Oreochromis niloticus: one gene and its partner. The protein of the gene in region 2 binds, or shares a complex with, the protein of the main gene of each other region. Links are inferred from orthologs where the notes say so. Each region holds a gene or a part of one and is shown on either strand. Other genes may lie near its edges. The genes, in order: nptnb and atp2b1a.

Evidence for each region.
Region 1: the proteins of atp2b1a (region 2) and nptnb are in contact, whole or in part, in a cryo-EM structure (PDB 6A69), measured with the Homo sapiens proteins. The link is inferred for Oreochromis niloticus from reciprocal best matches to the Homo sapiens genes ATP2B1 and NPTN. Residues at the interface, in NP_001353449.1 of Homo sapiens: Phe954, Asp955, Ile956, Asp957, Glu996, Arg997, Asn998, Val999, Glu1039, Gln1040, Leu1042, Trp1043, Ile1045, Phe1046, Met1049, Gly1050, Leu1052, Leu1053, Gln1056; in NP_036560.1 of Homo sapiens: Arg245, Ser246, Asn248, Arg332, Arg334, Pro339, Pro342, Phe343, Gly345, Ile346, Glu349, Ile350, Ile352, Leu353, Ile356, Ile357, Tyr360.

What each region holds. Positions count from the first base shown.
Region 1 is NC_031965.2:29,766,119-29,778,623, reverse strand, and holds the start of nptnb (neuroplastin), read right to left. Parts: upstream 4,639-12,505; 5' UTR 4,174-4,638; coding exon 4,098-4,173; intron 1-4,097. Other genes in the region: calcium homeostasis modulator protein 6, read left to right, coding at 5,945-6,409, 6,617-6,769; UDP-glucuronosyltransferase 2B17, read right to left, coding at 9,340-10,918, 11,327-11,379. UniProt on the Homo sapiens protein: Probable homophilic and heterophilic cell adhesion molecule involved in long term potentiation at hippocampal excitatory synapses through activation of p38MAPK. May also regulate neurite outgrowth by activating the FGFR1 signaling pathway.
Region 2 is NC_031981.2:11,777,421-11,790,076, forward strand, and holds the start of atp2b1a (plasma membrane calcium-transporting ATPase 1), read right to left. Parts: upstream 4,711-12,656; 5' UTR 4,553-4,710; intron 1-4,552. UniProt on the Homo sapiens protein: Catalyzes the hydrolysis of ATP coupled with the transport of calcium from the cytoplasm to the extracellular space thereby maintaining intracellular calcium homeostasis.

The DNA of each region.
Region 1 (12,505 bases), on a different chromosome or scaffold from region 2:
GTAAACAGAATTACTCTTAAAACCACTTCACTAAAGGTTCAGAGTCTCTAAAATATTAATATATGCCAAAATGAATATATGCATGAAATGTATATAACTACTAGAGGGTCAGTACTAACATCTGGAATAAAAAGATGTATAAATGCTAATAAAATTCTTTCAGTGTTCACATATTTCTGAGTAAAAAGTATACAAGTTATAGAATACATGTTTTCCGACTCACATATAATTGTAATTAAAACTTGCAAGCTAAGTTTTCAGAAAAGGGAGGCCTGAGGCTCACCATTTCAGTTCTACTGGTAAGACTTGAATCTGATATTGAGATCACAGACGAGAGGCAACAGTTTAATGAGATTTAAATCCCAATAAACCTTGTGTGGGGGTAAAAATTCTTTAATCCCATAAAACCACTAAACACTTCCTACTTCTGCTCAAAAGTGAAAGCAAGGGAATTCAAATTATTTGATGTAACAATACAATAATTCCAGAAATAAGAACTACACTAGTGTGCTCAAAGTACTGTCTACCACACAAGGTGACAAATGCTATTCCCAAGTCTCCTACTGTACTTTTAGTTAGAACTATTAGTTATTTTTATCATTATTTTTGTTACTGTCATGATAAATGTGAGCTGAAAATCAGCTAATAGGCTTTCTGTTGTGCTATATCACTTGAAAAACACATGCCCATTAGAAATTTTGGCTCCACATAAATCAAAGTAACATCCTAATTGAATATTCTCTCTGACCCTGAGTCCTTGTGCAGCACTCATAGCTGAGGTTGTTCCCAGCTATGAGAACAGTAAGTATCAGAGGCCAGAAGCTAAACTGCAGAAATTCCAGGAGTGAATCTGAATGCACAGCAGGGTGGTACTAAAAAAAACAAAACAAAACAAAAAGCAATGTGTTTGCTCAGCAAAAACATCCTGAAGACAAATCACTGTAAAATATATATAGGTTTGTTTATATATATATATATATATATATATATATATATATATATATATATATATATAAATCACAGTGTGTGTTACAGATGTGCATCATTATTTTGTATGCCTGCAATGTGTTTAATAAAGTGCAATGGTGCTCCTAATCAGTACAGGCCATATCAGATTTCACAGTGGGCAGGCATGACTCAGTGTACGAGTTTGGCTTCGGTCCCACAGCATATATTCCAGACTCACAAATGAACCATCTTAAAATGCTTTGTTTGCTTCAGATGAAGATAATGCCTAAATGACATAAAGCAGAAAAAGAAGGTCACTTATTGACAAAGAAAACTATTATTACATTTTTTGAGGGGGTTGTTGCTTACATGTTGGAATGCATTTAGGTGTGGCTTGTCAGCTTTCCTATCTTTGTACGTAGATAGTAAACCCCAAAGAAGAAGCCATCTTCGATGCCATATATGCTCAGTCTTAACTGAGCCCCTCAATGACAGACAACAGTGGTTACATTTGAACATGTAAGTAATAATATCAGCTCATTATTTAAAATATCTTAGTATGCCTTCTCCACGTTTTGATTCATGCAAACACAGATGATGCAAAAACAAAAAAAAAAAGAGTAGGCTGCGTGATTCGTAGGGGGAAATTATGTAAGAGGCAAAGGCATTTCCTTAGGTCAGCTCTAGTTACCTTCTCAACAGCCAGTACCTTCTTTGCATCAAGATCACATCATCTCTCAGCTTAAATAGTCCACAGCCACCTAGTGATTCTTTAGAGGGCCGGGCAGCTGTGCACAAGGAGGCCATCCATTAAGAGTTAATGGATTCACTTTCACAAAAGGACCTTAAAGCCACAGTTCTCAGTGCTGTGTCTCGGTGGTAAAAATAGAAACGAGGCAGAATGGACGGATGCTATTTACAGTCCCTCCAAATTTCTGTCACAGAAACTGTGCACCTATATGGGCCTACTTTTCCCAGGGAATGTGGAAATGACTTGAATTCCCTCTGCTTCCTAGATACAGTGATTACATCTCATGCACTTATAATTATTATTGTCCCCACATCACTGTCTGAACTCTGTAATATCACAGGAAAATTTCGGATTGCATAAGAAGCCATGCACCGATTACCCTAAATCTGAACTGTGTGAGAGAAATTAAATGGCTTTTGCATGCAATGTGAGCAAATATTACCTTTGGTATTAACAGTAGTTTATCACTGCTCTTACCAAACCTGTGATTTCTACATAATACAGATGAAACAGACAGCCTGAGTGGCATAGCTCTGCCTCTCACTGACCACTGGATGTTATTGTGTGTGTGAGTGTTTCTGTAGTGTGAACTGGACCTCAGTGAGTGGGCAATAAAACTGGGCAGAGACCAGAGGAAGTGTCTGGAAAGCCATTACTTGAGCTTTGTCAAACAATAGAGGGATTATTGTGTATTTGATTTTCCAGATAGCAAGATGAGAGAATGCCTCACAGTATGCACACACACTTCAGGCACTTCAAAGAAATTAACAATGAAGAAACACAAGAATTCAAGTAATAATTTTGTAATATAACTATGTTGGTATTTGAGTCTCCTGTCTGCCCCAAGCTAAATAAACATAGGTTGTTTTTGCACTTTTTTAAACTATCAAGATTTTTGTTGCGGCGCTTTATTTATTTTAGCATTTTTGTTGTTTGTATTATATAAAACTAGTGCAAGCTGTTATTCCCATGTTGATTAGACTAAGCTAATGTTGAAAACGTTCGATCTGAAGTACTTGCAAAATTAGCAACCACAGAGCTGGAATTTTCACAGTGTTCTCAAACAACCATCTAAACACATGTTATATTAATTCTTGCATAGTGGGTGTTCGATTATCCCCCGCAGCAAAGCCGAGGTGGACACTAAGCATTAAAATTATGAGTATGCATCATAATTCTCTGCCACAGTTTTCTGTGATAGCAGATTAAGTGTCACTCGTTTGTGAGCACGTGGGTTCTGACATGTGGCTACATCAGATTTGTAAAAGAATCAGTTATGAGATTAAACACTTTGTTTCCAGAAGTATATCATCTTACTGCTGTCTTCATAATCACGCTTACTAAAGAAATACTTAAACATTAAAAATATAAAGACTCAGAAGATTCCACTTTGATTTCATGAATGGCTGCTGATATGTGAGACCCTCTGGGTGATGTGATTCAACAGAATTTGGAGTCAGGACATGCTGCATCAGAGGACGACAGCCTGGAACACCCAACAGCATGTTGCTGACATTTGTTTAAACCAAGTCATGCTAGTTTTATTATGATTAACAGACACTGATTTTTTTTTTAAACTGCCAAATAAGTATCCTTTCATCTCTTCATAAATGATACTTATCAGCCAAATACTTTTATTTATTTATTTTTACTGTGGCTATCTGGTAGGAGATCTGATGTTTAAAAAAAGGGACTGTTATTTGTTTTACTATAGAATTTCCCACAGACAGAATTATTTGCGCAAGAAATGATCATTTATGCTGGCATGGCAAAAAAAATGTGGAACAACACAGAACAGTTTCAGTCAAGCAGAAGCTCAGTCACATCTTTGACACTGAAGGGCCTGGTATTTGCAGTGTTTACAAGACACATCAGGTGAATCTTTTGCCCGTGTTTGCTGCTGACAATGTCACTTGATCAGCATCCAAAGCAGGTTAGTCTTGCCTGACATACTCTTACTACACCCCCCCCCCGCCCCCCTCCTTTGACTAAACAAACTTAACACTGACAGCTTTAGGTTACTATCTCATGTGGGTAGTGAAGGTAAACTGTAAATCTTAGACTTTAGTAAAAAAAAAAAAAAATGGTAGTGTTCCACAGCATAATCTGCGACAGTAAATTAAATCCTACAAACACGCCAACAAAACTCAATACAGCAATAAATAACACTGTAGAAAAGTCAATGCAGTCAACACAGTCGTGTTTGTATTTGCTAACGTGGGCAGTAAGTAAATTATATATGTTACTGTCTAATTGCAGTCTTGGTGTGAAACTATGGCTTTAACGCGGTCTCAAAATCCTCTTCAGAAACAATTCCCTCCGCGTCCTCACACAAGCCAAGTCACTTTCCCTCAATGCGATGGTAACAGTAATGTCATGGTCACAGCTGTTTGCTTACCGTTTTGAGCAGAGATGAAAGGTAGCATCAAGTTCCCCAAAAGGACCACCGCCAGCATCACTGCGTTACGATGCATTGTTGGGGCTCGATCAGAGTACCGGGGTCTTGATCGGACGAATGTGGGAGGAGAGATCGTGCAGGCTAGTGATCACAAGATCTAGAGAGACGGGCCCAGCATTGCACCGGGTTCTTTAAAAATAGCCAGCCGAGGAAGGTTTCAATTTGGTGTAGAAATGTCTCCCTGATTCTGAGAGCTTTTGAGAGCAGCGATGAGTGAAAAGTCCGGAACGAGGCCGGCGGCTCAGGGATGCCGATGTGCGGCCATAAACGGCGAAGAAGCCTCGTAGGATTGCGGGGGACAGGTCTTTGGATGTCAGGGAGATTGTCCACAGTGTGGTTCTGAAGATTCAAAGATGCGCAGACCGATGCGCATTTGCGCTCTCGCGGTCACGGCTCGGTGATTAAAATGAAAGTAGCGCACAAAAGATTCCCGACGGCAAATGATGCAGTCGAAACATAAGTCTGTTATCAGCACCGGTCTATTTTTAATACCAAAAGAGGAACAGATGCTGGTAGGACACCGACGGCAGTAACGACAGGCTGCGCGTGCCCAGTGCGCTTATGACCGTGAACGAATACACAAAATCACATCCTATGTAGCTAATTGATGGTGTTGGCAACTCAGACAGTAATTACGTGCCTCTTTAGGCATTACAGTTCATTACTATTATTATTATTATTTCTATGAGATGACAGGTGCTCATGTTCATAGTGTCTCATTAGAAATGGATGTTTGTCCCTCTCAGAGTTATTTCTATAACTGTTTTACAGTCTGAATCTAAATGATTCCCTAACTCCGTTCCACAACTCTTTCAAAATTAACGTCTCCTATAAAGTGGCAGGTCAGTAGTCAAGTGCTTGCCATAACACGAGTATGAATGATTAATTTTTTATAAATAAGTTGAGTTGTATATGAAGATCAGCTGAAAGCAATTTAGTTTTCATCAGTGGTGTTTTTCCTGACCTTTATTCATTGCGCCTAAATACTGTCAGGTTTTAACGTGAGGAGATTATGGTGATGCTCTTGAGCCCACTGAGGTCATTTATAAATTATGTCATCACATCCCTAGCCTGGGTGCTCTGGAGCTGTATGTACCACATCCCCTTGAAAGTTCAACATGGCCTCCTGTAATCCTCTTCTATCCTTAATCTGCGCTGTCCCGCTGCATGGGCGACCTCCCGTGGTCAGTAGAGGTAAAGAGAAAAGTGTCAACTTGCATCCATTTTTGTAATTCCAAACACTTGTAGCAAATGGGGGAAACGCTTGAGTACTTCAAGCATTAACAACTGTAGCTATGTGTGGTAAATTATGTGTCCTTTTTTTAGATGATTATGATTTTCATTTTGAAATCCCTTCCTTTTAGTTTTGTTGCAGTGTGAATTGGGGATTGCAAGTTGATTCTTCAATGTAAAAGCCTGCCTTTGGATATATGGCTACCCCTACATGTGTTTTTTGCTGGAAAATGCCAATCTTTGCTCAATTGCAGAACAAACTTCCCTCCACTTTACAGCCCTCCCTCCAGTTTGTCCATGGAAGACCACATTTAAAAAGTAACCCCACCTGAAACTTCACAAAGCCCAATCAGCTAGAGAAATGTCAGAGCAGACGGCACACCCTCTTTTGTTCAAAACCAATCAGAGTGGAAGTGTGGCATTTTGCCCGAGGGGAAAACTTACCCCTGGATGCGTTAATTACGCATCACTTAGCTGTTGCCAATGTGTTCACAACGGAGGATCCTCTTTTGGGTTTTTTACAACGACTGTCTTCATTCTTTGGTCAATCTAGTATGGAAAGTAGACAACAATGGCTTACCAGGCTGAAAAATGAACTTAGTAACAGTCCTCTGGTATCAAATGTGGCTTTTGGCTTTATCCTCATGGGACTAGAGAAGCTGGTGGAGCTGGAGTTTGAGTGTCCTTGCAGTCCTAAATGGAACGGATTGTTTTCATCAGCATTCTTCATCATTCCTGCCGTCATGGCCTTCACTTTGATGCTAATCATTCAAGGATGCAGATGTGATATGTGGTGCAGGAAAACTGTGTCCCTCTCCAGTTTTGTTCCCGCTATCGTGTGGCTGATTTTATTGTTCCTCGATGGCCAATACTTTGCTTGTGCTATGACAGACTGGGAGGGTAGATTTGTACTAGTTGACAAGGCAGCTCCACAGAAATGGTGTGAGCCAATTAGAGAGGGAGATGTCACCACACAAGAACTAATGCTCCGCTCACAACAGCTGTTTGTGTTTTCTCAGGTGAGTAGATTACTTTTTTGTTAATAAACCACTGTGTATGATGAACACAATGAAAGCACTTATCTCTGAGTATGCACTCTATAGAACATATTCATTGCTGTTACATCTGTGAAAAATTTTATAGCTCTGTTAATAGACATTATTGACCAACATGATGCCTTTTATGTTGATATTTACTAAACAAAGTGGTGCTCCTCTGTACCCTAGGTTATAGGCATAGTCCTCCTCATTTTCATCTGTGTGGGTCTCATAGTGTATGTAATCAGAGAAAGCTGCCAACAAGAGGTGGAGATGCAGGATGCAAATGTAGCTGAGCTCACTGTGCTCAGGATGAGCTCTCTAAGGACCCGGACATCTTGAGGGGACACACACCGCCCACCACACCTGCCCTGCTGGCACGGATACTTGTAAATACTTGGAACAGACATTTACTATAAGTTTTTGTAACTGATGTACCATTTGAGTATTTTCCTCATGGAAGCGGGATATACAGTGCCTTTTGAATAGCCACTGATGCTGCCAAATGAAGCCTCATAAATATGCATATAATATCAATATTAGTGAAAACTCTTATTGTCCTGTAATGTAATGTGAGGGTTTTTTGTTTGTTTGTTTTACCTAAACTTTGTGGTGTGTTTTGAGAAATATGGTTCTCTTTTCGTGTCTTGTCTGTGAAAGCTACATAAAGTAATGGATTAGTACATCGATCGCCAATTCAGCTGATTCATCTTTTTTATTAGACTACTTCATGACAAGCAGCACAAGGCAGGAGCCAGCAAGAAGAGAAACTGTTAAGCACCATTACTTTCAGTAAAACATCTCTTTGTTTTTTGAATTTTTGTCCTTAGCTAACTAGCTCTTAACCCCAGTATTATTTTACTGCACACATATGTGCATTTAATTTTTAGCATGTTTGTTTTTGCCCTTAAAAGTGATATTTCACTTTGTCATGTAATCAAGTTTTTTAATTTTTTTTGTTTGTGTTTTTATCTTGACACAAGTGAAATCCACCAGGCAGCTAATATTGATCCGACTAATATTAGTTGACTTGTACTATTGTTTTTTTAATGTGTGATTGCTAAAAGAAGAATGTGAAAATTTCACTTCTCTAAACTGAAACTTCACTTCTTGTTTTCCCTCCTGTAGCCAAAGATGTTAGACCCCCGTTATGTTTACTTTTTGGTAACAGTAAAAATTCAGACTTAAGTGAAATTCTTAATGTTTCACCTGTTTACCATTGACATTCTTTCTATAACAATACTTTCTGTATGTTTTTTAATCTTTTTGTAATAAAAAATTTATTTATTGAAGTAAAATACTCTATATGGTCATTTGTCATAGCCCTTATAAACCTGCGGTCTTGAGAATTTGAGTTGTCTTTCAGTTTGATCGGCTCTTGAAAACAAAACGTAGCATCTCTCGAGCTTGCGTTACACAAATTATGTAGTGCTAGATAAAATATATTATTTGAATTAAAAAATGCTCTTGTAAAATTACTCTTTAGGACTTTAGTCAAATTTAATGAATAATTAAGCAATTGGAAAATTGCTATCCTAAAGACTGGTGCACCTCTGCAGCGTGAAGATCTTTACCGGGTCTCACAAAGCTGATGGTAATAGCAGTAGTTTAGCTCTGAATTGTATTTTCTTTCACTTTAAAATGTTCCCCAAGTGGCACTTAAACCTATTAAGTGTTGAAAATGTAACATGTTCATCCTGAGGGATGGCTTATTCAAAACTTCCCGTTTGGCCCTGAGGACGTTGTTGGCTTTATCTAATCCACTCCCCTCACTCTTAGACACAGCAGGATGTCATATTCATTGGCCAACTAATGTAGTCCCACAACTAGGAATCTCAAACTACTTCATTTCTTTCTGTCTTATTTTTGTTGAAACGAGTGGTAAATTTGGCTTACACAGGATGAATGGTTTGTAACTTCTAGTAATTTCAGTGATAAAATGGCAAGTGGTATAGCTGTTTGTTATGAAACCTCACCTACCAGGGCAGTGCAGTAATGCACTGGTTAGTACTGCAAGAACTTTTCTGGTTCACTGGGGCCTTTCTGTGCATAGTTTGCATGTTCTCCTCTGAGCCTGTGTGGGCTTCCTCTAGGTGCAGCTTCCTCCCATGATCCAAAGTCATGCTTGTTAGGTTAATTGGTGATTAAATTGGCAATAGATGTGATTGCAAGGTTGTTTGTCTCTAAGCGCTTACCCTATGATGGGCTGGTGACTTGTCAAGGGTGTACCCTGCCTTCACAATATGTAAACTAGGATAGGCTCCAACATCCCTTGAACTTGAAGTGATGATTTTCTTAACATGCATCCATGTTCAGAAAATGGATGCATGCGTGAATTTCCAGATATTCCCTTTAGTAATAGTTATAGTGTGCATAGGATTCCAGACCGCAGCAGGGAAAAACATTGCAATTAAGAGAACCTTTCAAAGATAGCTGAACAGTGAAGTCACATGGAGTCACTAAACTCGTAAAGCCAGATGATTAGATGAAAATGAGAGCAGATTCTCCACAGCACAGAAATTAATGAACAGTACAAATATGCTTTGGTCACACTTTTCTTTCATTCTACAGTGACAACAACTGTATTGTTTGTTTCACTTAAGGGTTAAAGTAAAATCCATATAGACTAGTTTGACTTTACATACAGTACAGTATATCAAAGTGCTATAAATTCTAAAAGACACTGAAATATACTGACAGGATATAATTTAAAGTACTGTGAAATACACTTAATCAAATATGGTCAGCCTTAACTATGTTATTTCTTTACTAATAAAATGCACAATTTTAAAAGAATTAATTATTTGTATCTTCTTTTTCTTTTCCCCATCAAATCACAGTACCACAAGACAATACAACATTTTATGATTTACGTGTTTAAAGTTTTACATTAATTGCCATTTTATTTCTTTTTAATCACGTTGACGCTTTGTCCTCGGGCACATAGAGCATAGGCGTTTTATTAAGACAGCAAAGGTGCCCAGAATAACCAGCACAACTGCAGCTAAGAAAAGTATCACATCTACAGAGTGGTAGGAATACCAGGGCAGTTTGTAGGATTCAGTTCTTAAGTGAGCTGCACCTTTGTGTCTCATGACGAACTCTATCCAGAAGAGGGCATTGTCCAGTGGCTTTATTGGCTGATCTCTGTGCAGCCTGGAAAGTCTCTGCATGTTCATCCTGTAGGAGGGATCATTCAGGACTTCCATAATACCTTGAAAGAAAATGTCTTCATTCATAGTAAAAACATCTATGACTTTCCCTGCTCCTCTTTCTTTGATTCGAAATAAATTATCATGTTGATCAAAAACCAGAGGAAGTCCTAAAATAGGGACTCCATGATAAATAGCTTCTTGAACACCATTTGTTCCCCCATGAGCCACAAAAAGTTTTATTTTAGGATGCCCTAATAGGTCACTCTGTAGCATCCAGTCCACCAGCAAAGTGTTGTTACCCAGAGTGCCTGGCCTGTCACCTTTATACCGCCAAATGACTTTCTGGGGTAATTTTGCAAAAGCTGCAGCGATCGCTTCAGCTAAGTCAGGGGGTAGTTCTCCAATCAAAGTTCCCAGAGACATGAGGATCACACCATGTTCTCCAGAACTCTGCACAAAGTCCTCCAAATGTTGTGGAAGCGGTTTTGCTGGTTTGCACTGGAACCCTCCCATATAGATAACATTAGGCATGGTGGGGCGAGGAAACTCGAACACAAAATCCACTCTCATTAGCCACAGGTCAGCTTGAAACATGGAGAAGTAGTCTGTGTCTGGACCAAAATATTTTTCAATGAGGTTCTCATAATGTGGTAGCAAATACTGGGCAATCTGATATTCTGCGAAACCAAAAATTAGGACATTTAGCAGCCTCTCAAAAAAGCTCATTTTATCAGATAGCTCAGTCCCTACCATGGGAACATAAGAGAGAGGAGATGGTGCAATTGAAAAATGGCCTTCACCCTGACTAGTCCATCTAACATTAAAAACAAGAGGCAACTTGAGGTATTGGGCAAGTATGGCACCTGTTGGTGTGGTAGGATCTGTCAGAACAAGATCATATTCTGCATCCTTTAGTGACTGTATGAGCTCTTTGTTTTCAAAAAGCCCTTCAATCAATTTGCTTTGTTTCTTTTGCATTTCAGAGGCTTTTTTTGCTTGTTCCATTTCCAGTTTAAAGCGTTTCCAGACAGACATCCCTCCCCTCTGGATGTCCAACAGTTCCGCAATAAATGCTGTTAAAAAGTCTTCATCAAACCCTGATTCCATATCGAGCGTAATTGAAGTATAGAATGGGGAGGATTCCTTGATGTACCAGCTGTCTGTTGAACGCACAACAGAAACCTGGTGGCCCCTTAGATGTAGTTGCTGAATAATGACATTCATATTTACCCAGTGGCTCCCATCCACTGGAAAAACAAGCACTTTCCCAGCATGAACCAACGTTGGGCAGAGCCAGCAGAAACTGATCAGAATGCAGGTCCAGTGCATTTTAATTCTAAAGGTTGGAAGAAAGCTCATTATAATCTTCTTTTTTATTAAACAATTACTTTTCAATACAAGTAGTGTTAAAAATTTTATTTTCATTTTGTGTCAATAAGCTTTATAACTGTGTGTTTGCTGTAGTATGTGCAGCCTTCTCCAATCAGTTTAATACAAAAAATGTAAAGAATAATAAGCTGTAAAATCAAACTTTCAGTGTTTTCAAGTAGCCTGTGAAGTCTATAAAGTAACTTAGGTTTTTAGCATATAAGCTATTAAGTTAAGTAACCTGTGTCCCTGAAGAGAATTCAAACCACAGGAAGAACATCTGAGGACCAATTAACAATTAACTTGAAAATACATATAACTACCAGTCCCAAAAGCTATTAGGTTTTTGTAAAGGTAGGTAAAAATATATTGTTACCTTTTTAGCAGACTTTGTAATTTCACATTCAGTTTTGCCCGAGAGACCAACATACACCAACCATTAGAGTTTTAAACCTAAGCAGGACTTTGGTACTGCAGTATCATGCTCTTCTAAGCACAGGTGATAAGAAAGTACAAAGGGGATTTAAAGTAGTACGTGATGTTTGTCGTATGCCCATCGGTTACCAAACTAAGACTGAATAAGAAAAACCTTGTTTTCAAAACTGAAGGGCTACAGATGTTTAATGCTACAGAGGAACATACACGATAACACATTCAGGGTGCAAAAAGCTTTTGTTTTATTGCAATTTTGTAATTCAAATTCATAGAACAACTTATAGCCTTGAAGGTAACTAGTTTTGTGGTCCACAGTCCTCAAATATGTTTCTTCTGATCTAGAAAATCCATACATGTTATAAATAATCCTATCAGAAAAACATACAGATAAGTAGATTTTTTTTTCTTACAGTGATTCCCAAAGTGTAGCCAGTAACCCCTGATGGCCCACAAAGGTACTTCAGAAGACTACGGGAGGTCATGTAAAATAAACATACAGGATATGTATATTTGGATACATATTTGCACATATTTGATTTGGCAGATTTTTATGCCGGATGTATCTCCTACCGCTCTTGAACCAGAGATCTTTCATGTTTTAGACAAATGTGCAAACCACTACTGATCTTTATAATAAAGAAATATGAAAAACAGTTAACTTATATGATGGTCAACTCAAGTAAAGATGGGCTAGAGAAGATTTTGGGTGCAGCAGTATGAACACTGGGACTGGCTGAGACAGTATTTCTGGCAAACTGGGAATGACTGAGAAAAAAATCAGTTTAACTAACCACAGCCAAACTGACTGTGCTGTAACAATGTATCAACATATATGAAAATCACTTTTAGTCAGATTTTGCTTTTCTTTTCAAACACAATCTAAAGCAAAACCACAGTAACATAACAAAAAATAACAATGTAAGTAATGCACTTGTTAGTAAAAATAATATGACATCTAGAGAGTAGTAGAAATACCAGGGCAGTTTGTAGGACTCGGTCCTTAGATGAGCTGCACCTTTATGTCTCATGACAAACTCAATCCAAAAGATAGCACGATCCAGTGGCTTCATTGGCTGATCTCTGTGTAGCCTGGAGAGCCTCTGCATGTTTATTGTGTAGG
Region 2 (12,656 bases):
TTTACAAACCTGTTGGCAAAAGATCTGATTAGTGTTAAGACTTTTCACCACTTTTTAAGCAATTAAAGTTTTACTTTCACGCTTAGCATTTACTTTTCAAACCTTTTAAGGAACAGGTTGTACTTTTCTTTTTGAACCTTTGTGCCAACAAAAAGAATTTGCTATACAACAAGCAGTACGAATTTGAAATGCACACGCAGTAATATCTTAAATTTACCAACAAATAGTTTGACGCTGTCTTACAAAAGCAATGCAGGTGAAGCACATTGCTATAGACAGGGTTTTAACCTCTTACATAACAACAGAACAGACAAGTTATAAAATTTAGTACATAGTGGCCATCTAGGCACATGAAGACTAACCGGTTCCTCAAAACTGTTTATATTAACTTATATAGAGCATGTCAAAAATAATTGTTTTTACATGCATAAATGAGGGGGGAGCTGGGCATTTAAACAAGTAAAACTGAGCACATGAGTATTTTTGAGTGCTGGAAGACTATCCTGTTGTTAAAGTTGTATTCTTACCCCCCACTGTTAAAAAAATAATAATAAAATAAAATAAAATGAAATAAAAAAATTGGGGGGGGGGGGGGGGGGGGGGGGGGTACTATACATGAATATAAAAATTTTATTCTGTTCTACTAATTTCCTCCTGTCAAAGATGTTAATGCAAACCAGGAGGTATGATTTTATTGAGCTTTTCAATCCTATGCACATCTATGCAAAATGTTCCAAAATGAGGCATCTTTCATTGAGGCACTTTGAAGATCAGAGGCTTTCTGTGTTCTTGGTTATGTGCGATTCCACAGACCAGATCGGTGGCCTGGGGTCCTGCTGTCCCATCATTATCTGCTGCAGTCTGAAATTGCTGTTGCCATCATTTCAGTTTTAGGATGTACAGTTGTTGACTTGTGGATTATATATTTCACAACCCCCCCCCCCCCGAAGAAACCCCAAACCTGTAGTACAGAATGCATTGCTATGGTTTAATACGTCATGCATGTGTTCTGCATTCATTATGACGAAACCACTTGCTGTAACTGTTAATAAATAGCCCAAGTGAAAATGTATACTAGAAAGAAAGTTTTGAAGCTTCGAGGAACAGACAAATGATTTCATGATCCACATGATTTCATTTGATTCAAATCAAAAATATTACAAATCAACTCAAAGTGGTCTTTCAGGGAGCTATTGTTTCCCACGAATACACTGCTCTGACTTGATTAGGCAGGAATTGCTCTCCTATTGCCTCCACCATATGATATTACTGGCCCTCCTCCACTGTACTAATGTTGCAAGATTTTTCAGAGCATGCTACAATGGCAGTTTGAATGTGTAGAGAAGATTACACCAGAGCAGGACTGTATACTGTATGCCACAAGTGATAACATCCAAGACAACCAGCAATGCTTTACGATGAGAGAAGCTGGGGTCTGGAAGTATGCTTCTATTATATAAGCTCAATGACGCTGAAGTTCAAATGAACAAATAATAATAATAATATTACAGTTAAATCATCTAGCCCACTTTAAAAATGTCCCTTTAATCATTGCCACGTCAAGCCACAGAGCCCACCATGTTGTAGAGATGCCAAAACAAACATAAATGTCCGTCAGACTGACTGGTAGCATATTTAGACCTTCTGACAGTCTTCAGGGCTATTTTGTAGCACGTGCCTTGCAATTATTTTAATTAGGCACAATCCCAGTATATAATAACTTTTGCCAATCTTCAATTATAGTACATTTGATCTCCTGCAACTAAAAACTGAAGCATATAACTGGTAGTCACACCTGTGTAATTTGTTTCTCGTGCCAAGTTAGACAAGATTTAAATGAACGAGTAGTAATGAATGACTAAAAGACCCTGTAACCTAAAACCCCTGCTTGAAATAATCTTGACCTTACAATCCACACACAGTAAGAAAGATAAGTAAAATGCCATCATTGGTAAATGTTACCATGAATACATGACACTTCGTGGTTCAAAACCACACTATATTTAGCTTTCCATGCTGGTTTACATGAGGCTTAACGCCACCTTAGATTAATGACCTGCAGTGGTCACCTCAGTGAAATAATGCTTTAAACTAGCAATTATAAACATTAAACTTGAAGAATTACAGAGTACACTAAGGACAATTGTTAGTAATTTTTCTTAATGTTGGGCTTGTAGTTGTCTGCAGTGCAGAGCATGACAATGAAATACGTGAACATGTGAACCAGCAGCTGTAAGAGGAACTCATCCATGATGAGTTAGGAACAGATTTGGCAGGCGACAACTGCCTGGAAGAAAGTATACCAGATATGACGAATTACTTCACAGTGGCTATACCTTTGTAAGTACTCGAAAATAAGCACTTATCTCAGCAGCAAGGACCATGTAAGATTGGTGAGAACAACATTCTTCAGCACAGCAAATGAGAAAAAAAAAAAAACATGCACTGCTGAAAAGGACGTAGAGGTGTAGTCTTGAAAGGTTGATTTTCTACAAACGAACTAATGAGCCACAAAGGTCAAGTGATCTTCCCTCTGCAATATAACAATTTTTCAAAAGAATAAAAAAAAAAAATATTCAAATAACTACTGACTCATATTAGTCACTCAAGGAGAGGAGTAATGTCTATAATCAGCCATTAGAAAAAAGGGTGGCACAGCAAGGAATAAGAAAAGATATTTTTGTCATTCTTGAGTGACAGCAACAGTCTGAGTTCAAAGGGCTCAGACACAGCAACAGATTGTGTTACTGATGATTTAAGTGAATCATTAAACAAACTCAATTTCTATATGCTGCGCTAGGCAGTTACGATGAAGCATTACTCACTGCTAAACCTGGAAAATAGACTTCTAATGCAGTATTAGCTAGAAAATTCAAACATATCTCCAAACTGAATCACAGCAAGTGTCATTGCAGCTAATACAATATTGTGCGGCAAGATATTGTGATTATAAAATCCGTGTAATTGCTTATCTGTCATTATATTATTTAACAAGACCAGAGTACAGATGACTACTCCAGGTGACTAGCACGCTCTGTGTCACCGAGTTCAGCGTCTTTTCATACAACTACAATAATACCTGCAATCCACTGTAGAATCACAAGTCATTATACAAACACTGGAAGACACTGCTGGCGCTGCAGCAAGCTGGGTGCTATTTAATTGGATAAGGAGTGATCCCTTCAACTAGACACCAAAAGGTGCTCTGTGGCTGCACTCCACATCGACCTGGATACTGCAGGTAATGTCTGAGTGCACCAATCTATATTACGTCGTCAATCAAGATTAAGAGTGTAACGTTAACGTACGTAATCATCTTGCAGTACCTGGAAGCCCTAAGAAATACGAGATACATTACGGGCAAGTGGAAGGTAATTTAAAGAGACGAGCTGCAGTCAGTCTGTGAGTTTCTGTTGCAGTGCAAGTATGAAATAAGCGTTGTTCTTTCAGTAGCGTTACGGACTAAAAGTGGCAGTTTTTTTCCGCCTTAGTTCGGAAATAACCTGACAGTTTTGCCATACCGGGACATTTAAGAGTGGTAAACAGCCATACTTGCTCAAATGGGTTTCTCGTAATTGTTTCGAGGAGGTTAGGAGATTGGGGCTTGAGATTAAAACCCTACTAGTTGCGGTCAAATTATTGTCTTCAGAATACGGTACAAATTAAGTGTTGGACAACAGAATTCGACACCAGCAAATGACAGCCCCTAAAAATGATGTTAGTCAATAAACGACGATTCAAAACACCTTTACTGTGGTGACAGAGAGCCGAAATGACTAATGCGGTTTTATGGGTTCCCCGAGTTGCCCGTGTTGAGTGTGTTGAGCAACCGCAGCGCGTGGACTCCCAGCGCTCGCGGAATATAGTTCCAGGCCGTTTTGTAGTATTACTCCACTAACGTTATGTATCTGCATATAAAACGGGAACTGCGAGGCGTTAGACAAGCTGAATGACATATCACCATGTAACATGCAATGCAGACAACTTTCTTTTAAAGATATGAAGGTCCATAGTTGAAGTGTTATTTAACAGCGGGACTCCGCGAGGAGCGACCAAGTCGAAACGTCAATGTGCAGCCCAGCAGATATGTTATTAAAAAATAAGAGCGGTCCTGACTAGCGTACACGGTTAGCCAACTAGCACTAATGCGTTAGCTTATGCTGACTGCAAAGAGGGGAAATTCACAAAAGATACTTCCAACAGACTGACAAGTCTAAAAACTTAACCATGAGCCACGCAGAAGTCCCAAGCAAACTAAGCACAAGCGTATGAAATCTGGCAGCATCCCGGGCTGATTAGATACCTGTGTTGGAAAACGAACCGCCCCATGTCAGTATCCCTCCAAGATAGCTAACATTAGCTTGGTATACAGCTAACTACCCAAGGCAAGCGACCCACAGTGGTTGGCCCTCGTTGATCAGTGCACACAAAAAAAGAAGACCTTAACCGGTTATGGGGTTGCATGCAACATCCAAAATCACTTGGAAAGATCAATTATTGTGTGGCATTTTGCCGCGCTAATAGAGAAAAATATAAGTAAAATAATACTTACTCCGTCCTCTGAAGAGCACCCCAGCTCCCTTTCTCTCTTTAACTCCCCCTCAGTCTCACCAAAGACTAGACTCTCTCCCCTGATCTGAGGTATAATCCCGCCCACTGCGCTGTCACAACCACAACCAAAGCCTGCAAACCTCACACTGCCAAGATAGTTCCTATCTCCCTCGAGCTCATGGAAACCCATGTCAGTTTGACCGGAAATCATATGACACATGCGTGCGGTGGAAAAGCGGTATAATGTTGCCGAAACTCACGTGGCTGACTGATGAATATACATAATCTCTTTATGTTTAATCACAGAAGAGATGCAGACCAAGACCACCTATTTGATTTTTAATGCAACACGATAAAAGGTGCGTGTCTCACAGCTGTATTGTTGCTTCTCTATGATTTTAAAATGCTAAAATCAAGCTGAAGCGATATCGGGCATATCGTGAGAGACAACCGGCCAAAAGATAACGTTGTAAAAGTGGAACTCGACGATAGCGGAAGTGCACGGGGCTGAACCATTTCGCCTCGCCTTTTTCATTTCTGTCACAACACCGCCGGGGACATGTGATGCACGTCAAAAGGAGGATGGGTATGGACCGCTGGTGTGGATTCCCATTGGCTTAGCCAGCATATCAGTCGCCTATGGAAACGGTTACGTCATGATCCCCTAGTACTCCTTCTTTGCTCCCGTGTAGCTTTATAATAACAGGATTATTCAACAGCCCCCCCATCATATGATGCAGCCTGCAGACAGTAGGCAACGAAAATGCATCGGTTTTGCTGTCCGGGCGACTCAGCCCCACCTAGGCTGCACGACGCTCTTCCCCTCGACGCCTAATCAAACCTGACGTTATTCTTTCCATGACGTAGTGCGTTTTTTTTCTCTCTCTCTTCACCAGATTCAATGCCTGTATTCTTTGCGATTCCTTTAGTACTCTCGGGGAGTCACACACTCTGCACAATCAGCCTCCTTATTACTGGGGGCAGCTGTCAATGAAATGCAAACAGCACTGCATTCCAATGTGAGCCATTACACCGATGTGACAGAAATTCAACAGCGTTTTGGTACTGCAATATATTGCAGCACAAGTCCCCTGTAATTGTCTAATATGTTGTAATTTATGTTTTTTATGCAACATAGAATGCAAGGTGTTAATTGGAATTAGAAAGTCTGTGATCCAGAATTTAGACAAGGTGGTTCTTGCAAAATCCATCTGAACTTTGCACAAACCAAGTCAGGTAGAGAAACTGCTATTTGACAATTAAAAAAAAATAGAAAAAAAAGAAAGATTAGTTGTGGTAGATCATAAACAGAAAATAACCATGGCCAGGGTCAAAACTCAGTGTAATACACTTGCTGTCTGGACATAATGGGATTTATCATTAACACGAGTGCCTTGAGTGCACGGCAGCAGCTGCCTCTTCAGAAAGGTCCAACGTGTTTAGGCTTGTATGCAAATTAAAAGTTGGAAAATATCATTTCAGAATTTCCGAGTCAGACAGACGTCAAGCGGAGAAAAGAGATTTGGAAAGAAAGAGGAAGAGAAGAAGTAGGGGGAAAAAAACCCCAACTTGATTTATGTAAGATGATTTGTGCAATCATTTGGCCTTATGTCTTTGTGATTTGACTTTAATGGCTCAGTCTAAAGCAGAATGAGGAACAATCAGTCAAAATGCATAGATAGGCAAAAAAAAAAAACCCCAAAAAAACGTTGTTCGCAGAAGCTGCAGAAGCTCCCACACTCCCTTCGCACATTGTGAGCTGTCAGGTTTCTGCTCTAAAACTTTAGAACTGCAGCTGCAGCTGCAGCAGTGCTTAGATGCTGATGTTTTTTCCCCTGTACGCCCAGCAGTAACACGGGCCTCATCTGAACAAGCTTTGGCACACAGACTTTGCTCCACAGGCCTTTAAACCCTATAGTGCCAAAGCAGCGACAAGATCTATTTTTACGTCTGCCATTTTTGCAGTTCACTGTCAGTGGTTTTGGTGGCTTCCTAAGTGGCAGCCTGCAGTGCTTTGTGTTGGTCAACCCAGAGCAGATGTTAGGTTATTCACTGACCCCCAAGGGCATCTCTTTCTCTCTTTTTCAGTCCATCAGTCTGTGCATCAGCCCTTCTTCTTTATCTGAACCAGAGGACACACTTAAGGTAATGGTAGGAATGCAAATATAGATTCATAATGGATCTTTACAATCAACATCAAAAATACATGAGGACTGTAGATCAGCTGGCCTGCTCTGGAGGAAAGTTGAAGATTTAGTGGGGTATCTTTATTCATGTTGTTCAGTCTGGCTCATTTCAGGGGTAGCAAATGAATCTGAAAGATCACAAATTAAGTTTTAGATATTGTTCAGTTTGTACAAAAATGCATGAAAGAATCTTTAGAGGGGACAGCTCTTTACTTCCTGCTTCCTGTTTTTGTGCTAATCAACTGTGAACCTTTCATTTCACTGTTAACCTTAATGTGTATAAGCACAGCACATAGAGTGTAGTGGTTTACATATTCACTTCACAAGAAAGATCTTCGGTTTCATCCTGGGAGGAAACACAAATCCTTTTGGAAGGGCATCTGGCATAAAAATCAGCCAAATAAAACACACAGAGCTTACATGCTGTGGCAACCCTTTGTGAATAATGGAACATAAAGCATGCATGCATATTTTAACTGTAAACCATTAGAATTCATTACAAAACATCAGTAAAAAACAAAGCTTTTTCCATGATAACAATTTCTTTCTAAGCTGTTAATGATGTTTGTAATGTCTTTTCTAAAGCTGACAGAAAATAAATTGGAATTCTGCCTCGTACCATCACTCCGTGCTTGTTCACTTGAAACCACTTAATCTTTCAATCCATTTAAACACTTATGGACCACAGAAGTGAGCAATATGATGAAGACTCGCACCAAGGGCCTTTTAGTTGTATGGGAAACAATCTAGATGCAGGTTGTTAATGGCAAAAGTGAATTGTTTAGCCCTGAAAATTGAGTGGAAATGACCACGTGTGTGTCTACGAACGCCAGAAACCAAACCACTGCAGAACTCCTCCTGGTTTTTAATACTCAAGGAAATTGCATCTATGCAAATAGCGGGACTCTCTGAGAGCCATGTTGAGTTTTCAAATTGAGGAGACCAATCATTTTCCCCACAGCTGTTGTCTGAATCTCTCTATTGACTCAGTTTCTTGGTGGAAATTTGCCATATGCTCTGGAGCATCTCGTGAACTACAGTAAATGTCAAGTGTCATTAGCCTTTGTGCATGCTAATGTCTTGTTCATGCTGTCTGAGTAAGCAATAATGATGAAACATGCCAAAATGCACTCAAAAAGGGGATGTTGCCTTCAGGGTAACTTTTGCATGTGTTGCAAAAATACTCAAAACAGAACCTCATTTAATAATTTAGGTTAAAGGTAAACACATGGTCGCATTGAGGTGGATAGTCAGGGGAGGCAAAAAAGTTAAGCAACACAGCTTTGGTAAGCGTGATTATTCGTTCATCCCAACATAGAGCTTTAATTACTGGGGTACTGTTCTACACACCATGAGACAAGATAGCTTGACAAATAATTGCAGGTTCGGTTTGAAAAGCGTCTAGCAACCGGCACTGTATGAATGTGTCTGCTGTTGTGCGAGGAACGTTGTTGCCGACTCTGCAGCTTATCACATTTTCAGACAACACACGACTCTGAACTGATTAAGACATTTGCACAAAGAAAAAAGCCAAAGGGAATGGAAAACAGAAGCCACAGAAAGATTATCAGTTAATTCCTAAACACTTTTCTAAATAAACACATGACTGCGGTGGAAATGCCTGTGTTGCACCAGCAGATCATGTGCCTCTTGAGGCGAGGCAAGTGGAAAATGTGAACATGAAGATGTCTCATTAGCAGACGTACATAGCCGGGTCCCTATCAGTCAGGACATGCTGTATGAATATTGCTTCCTTTGGTCAGCCAATCTATCTACACCACTTTGTTTCTTGAGCGGACATCTCATTTTCCACTGGCTCAGCACATTGGCAAAGCGTTAGACATAGAGGTGTGGGGAGTGACTTCCTTCTTTTGAAGAGGAAGAGGAAAAACAGTGTTCCATACTTGAGAGAAAGACTGTCGATCACAGATGCTGACGTGTAAGAATTTTCCAATTGCAAATTAATCAGAAGTCCACTTTCTAAGCATTTATACATAAATCTCACTTTATATGATGTTAATATGTCAAATAAAGTTGGTTTTAGTGTTATAAGGTTGCACTGTAACAGACTGCTTAGACCCATTATTCAAAACGGACAAGAGCTATATTAATCAGACAAAGTTGATATTAGGGATGGCTGTTGCACCGGGTAATAACAAACCTTTCTTATCTAACACATCATTAGTCTGCCATAATCACTGTAATCACATTTTTCCTGAAATCCTGAGTCCAAACATTGGTTAATGTCTGCTAAAGGAGACCCCAATTATAAGATTAACATTCAAACTCTGCTGACTGGCAAAACAGCCGAGACACAGACACATGAATTATACCTATGGTGCAGACAAATGCTGAAGAGAAGATCTAAAGAGAGACCTTGTGGAGCAGTCTTACTGACAAAGACCCCTTGTGCGAAGGAAAACTGAGAAAGGAAAGGTGGTGGTAGGTGAAGTGGTGCTATGGAGGGGTCTGTCTTGATTGAGCTGCTTGCCTTAGGTTTGTGCATGTTTGTGTTTCCAGCTACCCCAGGAATTTACTGCATGGCACTGGCAAGGACGGCCACAGAGAGGTGAATGGCCTGTGGGATAAAGGCCAGAGTTTTCTGGGAAAAAGAGTAGTGGAGAGAGAGAGCAGGAGGAGAAGCAGAGGTCATAGAAAAGGAAGAGAAAGATGGAGCAAAAGTACATAGACAAGGAGCTATTGTAAAAGGCGAAGAGTCAGCAAATAAGTGTGAACTGGAAATAGAGATGGTAAAACAAAAGCTGTGTGTGCCCCGTGTGTGCGTAGGGAAGGAGACAGTGGTCTTACTCAGCCCTGAGCCAGCAGCACTGAGATTATCTGGCCAAGTTTCCACTCGCAAACAATAATTCACCTCAAGTGCCCATTGAGGCCAGACTTTGTAAGGACAGCGACCCACCCAATGCAAAATTAGGTTGTGTGAGTGGAAGAGTCTGTGTATGGTTATAGTATGCCATCACCATATAAACTTGAACGTGTGATGGCGAGCCATAGAAGGGTGTGTTGGTGTGGTTGCGGGAGGGGGCGGGAGGGGGAGCATGCTTTCCATGCTCTGATTTCTGTTGATATCTTCTGTATTTACATTTGGCCCAGCTAGTGGTCAAGCTAGAAAGCGTGTTTCATTCAGGCCAGTGAACATTTTACATGTCATAAAATGTAGGGCATATAAATAGTGTTTATTCCATTACCGCCAAGGCACACAAACTACCTGAGAGCCCACATTTAGACTTTTCCAGTGCTCATGGAAAACACTGGAACGCAAGTGGAAAACAAAACATACAGGACAAAAATATTGCAGAATTAAACTGACTGTGTGTGTTTCAGTCTCAAAATAAGAAATAAATTAAACAAAAAAGGGAACAAACCCGAGTTTTTAAGCACAGCTAGACAGCAAGGGCTAGTTAACATGCTGGCAGAGGTGACTTTGGGTAAATTAGTGGCAACAGGCGGTAATTAAGAATCGTTTTTACTGCGCTCAGTTGTTCAGCTAGGCGTGGAGCTCATCAGCAAATCTGCTTTTCTCTTCCCCTAAAGTCTGAGCAGTGCCACCAGGGACCCGGCAAAACAATTAATGGCAACTTAATTACAGGGCCACATCAGATTTTTTTGCTTAACCCACTGAATGCGCAGAGAGCAAGAGAGGGGCGCATTGAAAGAGCTTGTTTCCTTAAGATGACACACAGCTTTTTGCAATGTCCAAATCAGAGTGGCACTGACTGGGCACAGATGGGGCACAGAGGAGGAGATCCAATGGGAACTTGGTGCCCTTTACACCCTATTTCTTCCCTTTCACATGGGGGGGCTTTTCCTCTGGGAAAGGCACAAGGACCAGGACAGGGAGGGTTATAGACTAGGTCCTAAATTTCTTGGTGCACAGGAATCCTAGCATTTGTGCACACACACTACAGATGGACACACAAGTGCACACCTTGTCCTAGGTTAGGCTATTGCTTCGACTTTCAAAGGACAGAGAAGCAGTACACATACAGTATGTGTGTCTGAGACTTTCCAGGGACTAGAGTGAATTTTCCATAATTTTTAAGCAACAGCTTGAGTTGGACAACTTAGATACAACTCACTTTTGTAAAGAAGGAGCTATGGTTAGCAGCTCATTGGCTTAGCAAACTCATTAAAGGCAGGAGCAATCAAAACAAAAATCAATACATAGCACTAATTTCTGGAAAGGCGCAGTATCATATTTAGCAGCTCTTAGACTGGTCTATTAGAAAAATCAAAGCCTGCTCCTGCGTTACTTTTCTCAAACTAGCAACGTTTGCGACATGCATGCGTGATGTATATATTTTTTTAACAGCTATTCTAATGAAACTATTCTTTTGCTTGCATAGATTCTGTCTAAAAACTATCCTGCTGTTTTTATGTACAAGACTGCCCTATCTATGATTCCTCAGGGACCTGCACATGGACCCTGGCTTTTTATCAAGCTGTGACGCATAAGTCTGCAAACATCTATAGCTTATGAGATATGGTGTTTATGTAAAGCAGCCAGTTTGGCACACCCTAAAACAAATAATGAATAGATCCCTATGTAAAAAAGAAGCAGTTTACACTACAAATACATTAAGCTGTAGAGCAATGAATTAAAGTAATTTCAGAAGTAGTAGCACCACTGCATGAAGCTCTTGTGCACTGCATAGCCCTTTAAAGCCAAGCGTATCGTATTTTATGTGTTTTTGTGAGTTTTTGAGACTTCTACATCATCAGCGTGGCTTGTTTTTACCCTCAAAAAATGATATAAATTGCATGACACATTTTTAATGACGCCCTGCGACAGACTGGCGACCTGTCCAGGGTGTACCCCGCCTCTCGCCCTATGACAGCTGGGATAGGCTCCAGCGCCCCCCGCGCCCCTGAAAAGGATAAGCGGAAGCGAATGGATGGATGGATGGATTTTTAATGACTAAATTGCAAAAATATGGCTAATGTAGCAAATGTGATACAAATTAAAACTCATATATGCAGACTAAAATTTGATATATTTTTACATATATTTTGTCTAAAGGTTCAACAAACACTCCATTATCAAACAAATTAAAGATTTCTGGCAGTTATTTCATGGTTCAGGTTTTAAAGGGATAGCATAGAGGCTTATGCAGGTACTTCTTGTTACTCTGTTTCTGATTCAAACTTATAATTAAAATCTGGGATTTTGTTACCAGATTACACATGGCTATGCCTTTGCTCAGAGAATCTGGATTTATAGTACATAACCAACGTTCTTTTCATGATTACACTGATCAAGGCACTTCAAGAGACCAAAGCTAAAATGGAGTATGAAAAGTGAAAAGAGATCCTACAGCATCACATTTAACTTATTTAAACAAGACAGGAAGAAAACCCATTCTAATGGGCACACAAAATATAACTATGAACCTTAAATAACAAATAAGCACATGAAGTGAGTCAAACAACAGAATATTCTCAAAGCTGCATTTGTGAATGTGAGTGGAATTTAAATGACATTTTCCTGCTTGTGGAACAAACACCAGACTTTGTGGTTTCACTGTGGTGAAATGTTTTTTTTATATCGTTTGAAATGTGTCTGTGAGATTGAGTATCAACAACTGTTAGGAACACAAATCTGGCATTTGCTTTATCTTGAGTTAAAGCTACATTTTTCCCAATTGAGAACATGCAAAGCAACGCAAAAGGGAATCATTGCTTTAAAAAAAAGTGATTTAAACAAACAGAGATGGCCAGAAAGAATAGGCAACATCAGGAATACAAAGACAACAACATACACAATCCATAAAGAACCAGTCATCGTTACAGGAGTTTTAGGAGTGTCCACTTTTTTCATTTTGTTGCACAAAACCGGAGCAAATATGACATGTTGCTCCAGAAGAGATGCAAATGGGGGTAAAATCACAACCCTGCTTAGTT